Linked DNA regions of Kluyveromyces lactis. The protein of the gene in region 2 purifies or fractionates together with the protein of the main gene of each other region. This does not show direct contact. Links are inferred from orthologs where the notes say so. Each region holds a gene or a part of one and is shown on either strand. Other genes may lie near its edges. The genes, in order: TIM10 and TIM22.

Region 1 (2,543 bases), on a different chromosome or scaffold from region 2:
GCATGGTTTAGATCCTCAATCCTTGGAATGACCAAACCTTTTGATAGGCACGATTGGGTCGTCGATCGCTGCGGGAAACAAATAGATTATGTCATCGACTTCTATTCGAATCCAGAACCTGAAAAGAACCACCTTCCTCCAATATATTTGGACGTTAGACCAAAAGTGAATACTTTTGAAGGTTGTAAATTACGCGTTATGAAAATGCTAGGATTTTAAAGACAGAAGGGATCGTCCAAATTTTCAATCCTAAGGGAAGATAATGGACAAAAACACATCACGGTATTAGCAAATACATTTATATCTCTATATTTATCGGTTTGATCGAGATACACAAACCTAATCGTTTGGTACTCCGACATTACCTCATTTTTAAAACTCTGTAAATAGATAATTAATATATATATATAATATATTTGTATATACAAAATTTGTCATATATGTACATGATAAAACGTGAAAAGTTGCGAAAAAGATTATGCACTAACGTCCCGGCTTAAGCTTCCCTCATCGGGTTTAGAATTTACCTGGAGAGAAAGCTTGGCCTAGCTGTTGCATGTTTTCACCAACCTTAACGTTAGTTTCAAAGTACTTGGCAACACATCTGTCGATACAAGTAGATTCGTTCTTGTTTAGTTGACCATCGTTATAAATTTGTTCAATACATTTCTTGTGACAGTTGTCGACCAACTTGTTGAACATGTCAGTAACCAAATCTAGTTCAGCTTCAGCTGCTGATAGCTTTTGTTGAGAAGATAATTGAGGTTGACCGCCTAGACCGAACATTTCTTAGAAGATGATTTTTATATGTTGTTATTGTAGGAGTGGTATTCCTGTGGCTATGAATAGAAGACTAATCACTACGATAAACTACGTCAATAAATATTTACAGATCAAACAACAGTCTAGTTGTCAACGCATTTAACTGCTATTAGTTAAATTTTAGTGAACTGCAATTCCTGACGAATAGTTGCTATACTGAAAATTTTCAGAAATATGAGGAAATATACGTTACCCGGTCACATGCACGTGATTTGGACATGTATTGATTTGACAGAGGGAGCATTGACCTATAGTAGTCATTGAACCTTTGGAACTACCGATTCTTGCAATTATTTGGTACTTATGAGGATTGAGTTCTCATTCGTTGTAATTATATATGCATGTATATCTTACTTTCTTTCTCTGTTAAAACCTGATATATTGAAGACAGATAACTAGTCAAAGAAATCATCGTCTTCATCGTCATCTTGATCCACACTAGATGATGCTGTTCCTTTTTCTCTTCTATCGAATATAATACGTGTAGTATTGCGCTTTTGCTCATCTCTTCCGACTGATTCGAGGATTCCAACGATGTCCTGCTCTGTTAATTTGTTTCTAATAGCACCGGACCGCACCATTTGTAGTAAATAAGCTTCTACTGCCTTTACACGTTCTGGCCGCACCAACGCTACCCTGCTCAATCTTTCTTGTGCATTGGAATCCAAAATCTGATTCAATATCGCTTGTGTTTGACCATCATTCGATCCGTTGTTTGCTGATTCTGATGTTCCTCCACTTTGTTGCTTCAATTCCCTCAATCTGGCCTCTCTAATGGCTCTCAATTCGTCGTCCATGGTTGCTTCTATTATTTTAATGTGACTGGTGACGCCTCAGCCTGTTCCCGTAACTATATACATTTTGATTCCATTATCATTGATATAGCTGGTATGTGTATACGACTTCAACTATCGAAGGTTCGTGATATTGGAATACAGAAAAAAAATAAAAAAGTGCGATACAAATTTAATTGAACGCATCTAACAATTGAATTAAATTATGGTTCAACGCGAAACAACGAGTAGGGGAAAGTACCGGCTAAAAAAATTACGTGCCAGTACATCTACTTTCCGGCTTCATGACAAAAAATATGGAGGTAACGAGGCCCAAACGGTCAGGTACTGCCAATGTGGATTATAATCTGAAAAAGAGACGGATTATTCCAAGTGATGATTATCCAACGAAAAGTACATCCTCAATATCTTCATCACCGTCCCAAGAACCATCGACAGAACCTATTGGACCAGTCATTCTTAAGGATAGTAATGGAAATATAACGTTTCAGGAGCCGCCAGTGCATGATCCAATAAATGCTATGACAGGGACGCCATTATCTCAGAAGCCGAAGGGATCGAGTAACAACAACAGTAACAATAATAATAGTACCAATAACATCAATAATAACGACAATGATGATAGCAATAATAGAAGTGGTAAACACAGAAATGGTAACAATAAGAAGAAGAAATCCAATATATTACAGGCATTAAAGAGCAGCATGGAGGCTAAATATGAGGGACAACTACAAACTGAAAAATCAAATGAATTGACCGTACAAAGTCATGAACGCATAGGAGCGAACACTCCCACTAAACACAACAAAAATTCAGGAATTAAACAAGAGGCTGACTCGGATTTTATGCTACAGGATCCTATACGAAATTCGCCCAGTAAATCGATAGCACTAAAAATGGCGAAAAGGTTGAAATCTACCAAGGATA
Region 2 (2,817 bases):
TACCCCAAAGAAGTCAAATACATTTCCAAAACGAAGACAACTGAAAGAGAAGCTTGGTGATCCATTGCCCTTACCTTATCTTGACCCTCAGCAAAAAATGGAAGTTGGTCGTGACCTCGAATCCAGATGGAATACTATAATATCGAACGCAAAGGTACGACAGACTAAAGCAGAGCCTGTGAATAAGGCCAAGAGGGTATTAGAAGCACCGTCTTTTGAAAGTCAAAGAAAAATTTCCCGCAAAGTGTTTCAATCTAGTGAAATAACTACATTGGAATCCCAATTGAAGGACACTAGTGCCAAGCTAGATCGGTTGATCGATATTTTGCAGGACAAAGAAACTTTAATTGGCAAATCAATGACCTATGAACCAGTGATATGGTTAAGTTGTATCATTATTCTCGTACTTTGCAATGTATGGGTGTATCATTACCTATGATAAAGACTGAATTGATATATAAATGCACGTATTTACATGTAAAGTTCATAGATATCATGACCTGGAGTCTATCTAATGTACAAAGAACGGACGCTTAATGCTTAGAGTTTCAAAAATATAAACTGATCATTCATCGAAGTCATCCTTGGGTGGTTTCTTATTCTCGTTTCTCATGTATAAATCAATGGCCGTAGAGAAGGCAGCAAAACCCGCACAACCCACTAATGCTGCCTGAGGTCCACTCTTGTATGCCAAGCCACCGCCTGTCAAACAACCTGCAGCTACACCGTTATATATATCGTTCTTTGCCCTTAACGATTCCACCACACATTCGACACCTGAATAAATCATACCGATGTAACCGAAATTCTTTGCACTGGAGTAGGATCTTTTTCCCATATCACTAAACTGGATCTTTATCTGCTGTTTCAACGGTAGATCTGCAAGCTCTTTCACTTTATTTGGTAAACCTGGAGCATTGGTTGGAGCTGGCGTATGTAGAGGTGTGTCATACGCCATCGATGCCATAAATAAACCGAAAACACCACCTAATGCAAAACCAGTAACACCACTGATGGCAGCTTTTCCAGGACAAGAAGTCATAAACTCCACCATCATTTGGGCACCTTTTTCACCTTGTTCTTCAGGCGAAAGTTGATCAAATGGTTTATTCTCTGGTGGAGAAACTTGGTCTAAACCAAACCCACGATACACCATTTTATTTTAACGTTTCTTACTTCAACAGTAGCTAATCTTCCACAACTATCCAATACTTCACGGTGTCCTTTTACTACTCTGTTCAACGATGTATATATTTATTTCAATATTATTTTCGATGAGCTTTTGATATTAGCTATTCCAAAGCTTTTTTTCTTTCGATAAGAATAAGCTTCAACTCTGTCAATATGTCAATATTGACAGAATGCCTCATCGCATGCACAGAAGGCAGCATTTTAAGCAACTGTATGCGGAATATGAGACCTTTTGATAATGCAAACGATAGCCAGCACATTAGACTGCTACTATGGGACAAATTGTAATTCATTATGGTCTCTCGAAGAAGAATTATCTCGAAAATTTTCAGCATATGCAAAGAATTACGAATTTCCAAAGCTGCATCGTTCGTATTTCCATAGCGTTGAGCGGTATTGTCCTGTGATTTGTTCTCAGCTGACTTGGTCTCATGATGGTACTTCTATTTGCGGCGTTTTTGATGATTTTGGAATACGACAGTATCTTATACCAGAAGATCCACTTGTAGATCATTGGGTTCCTTTCACACGATGGTTTGTGAATGGTTCCATTATTTCCTCTGTCGTCCACCCTAGATACTCACTGTATGAAGAGGATTCAGCATATCAAACTATACTTTGTTCTTCAAGAGATCTGCCCATAAAATTGTACTCATTACGATCGGACAGCATCAATGAAACAAGTTTATACCATTACTCTACTGTTAACGAAGAAAATGAAGCCTTTGAAACGGCTTATTCAATGACAATACTTCAAGACACTATGCATTTCATGACTGGATCTGTTAGAAACAGGATAACTATGTATGATTACAACCGACATAAACCGATATGGCAACATCAGTGGACAAAACAATCATGCGGGAAGTCATCACAGAAGGCTATCGTATCATGCTTTGATGAATATAACGAGGTACATGACAATGTCAGGTTTGCTGGTACTTATAAAACAGAAGTGCTACGAATTGATACTAGAAGTACTAAATCTGAACTAATAAGTGAGCGTGATTCATTGGACTCGTGGTCAAATGGAATCTACCAAGTCATTAAGTCGGATAACGGACATTATTTGTACTGTATTAAACGTAATGCAAGAGAAATCGATGTTATTGATACACGAATGTTAAAATCTAGAATTAATATACTGGAACTTCCATTCAAAATTGGTAAGCAGAAATTCAAGGCATCCTTGAACAGTGCCAAAGGTTTGTTAATTGGATCGTACGATGGTCAGGTTGCATGCTGGGACAAAGATTGCATTGAATTTGGTGGGTTGGACCCACTTCAAACCGCTGGTACTGGAATAAAGCCAACGAATAACATTCTTATTTCAGATGAGAATGTAAGGGTGAATTGCATTGCAACGAATCCTGTTGATCCAAACACCCTCGCTATTTCAACCTCGACTGATAAATTTGCAGATGATGAGGGTATGACATTAAAAACATCTGTGAAGCTTATTCGGATGCATTAAATAGTTGTCTGTAGGTCCTTAACTTTTGATATTGCTTAACCTTCAATAAGAGTAGTTTCTTCTTCTTCAGTTCGTATTCATGCTTTATCTCTGCCTCCTGAAACTGCATGCCAGGTATCACATTGGCCGGTATATCAAGACTACTTTGAGCA

What was found.
Region 1: the proteins of TIM22 (region 2) and TIM10 purify together in Saccharomyces cerevisiae (affinity purification with western blotting; 4 studies listed by BioGRID, with this or other methods). This does not show direct contact. The link is inferred for Kluyveromyces lactis from reciprocal best matches to the Saccharomyces cerevisiae genes TIM22 and TIM10.

The regions. Positions count from the first base shown.
Region 1 is NC_006042.1:2,402,692-2,405,234, reverse strand, and holds TIM10 (protein transporter TIM10), read right to left. Parts: upstream 787-2,543; coding exon 517-786; downstream 1-516. Other genes in the region: cytochrome c1 heme lyase CYT2, read left to right, coding at 1-219; SDD2 (Sdd2p), read right to left, coding at 1,218-1,619; RCO1 (Rco1p), read left to right, coding at 1,901-2,543. UniProt on the Saccharomyces cerevisiae protein: Mitochondrial intermembrane chaperone that participates in the import and insertion of multi-pass transmembrane proteins into the mitochondrial inner membrane.
Region 2 is NC_006040.1:726,558-729,374, reverse strand, and holds TIM22 (translocation channel protein TIM22), read right to left. Parts: upstream 1,157-2,817; coding exon 566-1,156; downstream 1-565. Other genes in the region: KAR1 (Kar1p), read left to right, coding at 1-439; SWT21 (Swt21p), read left to right, coding at 1,430-2,665; COP9 signalosome catalytic subunit RRI1, read right to left, coding at 2,649-2,817. UniProt on the Saccharomyces cerevisiae protein: Essential core component of the TIM22 complex, a complex that mediates the import and insertion of multi-pass transmembrane proteins, such as mitochondrial carrier family members, into the mitochondrial inner membrane.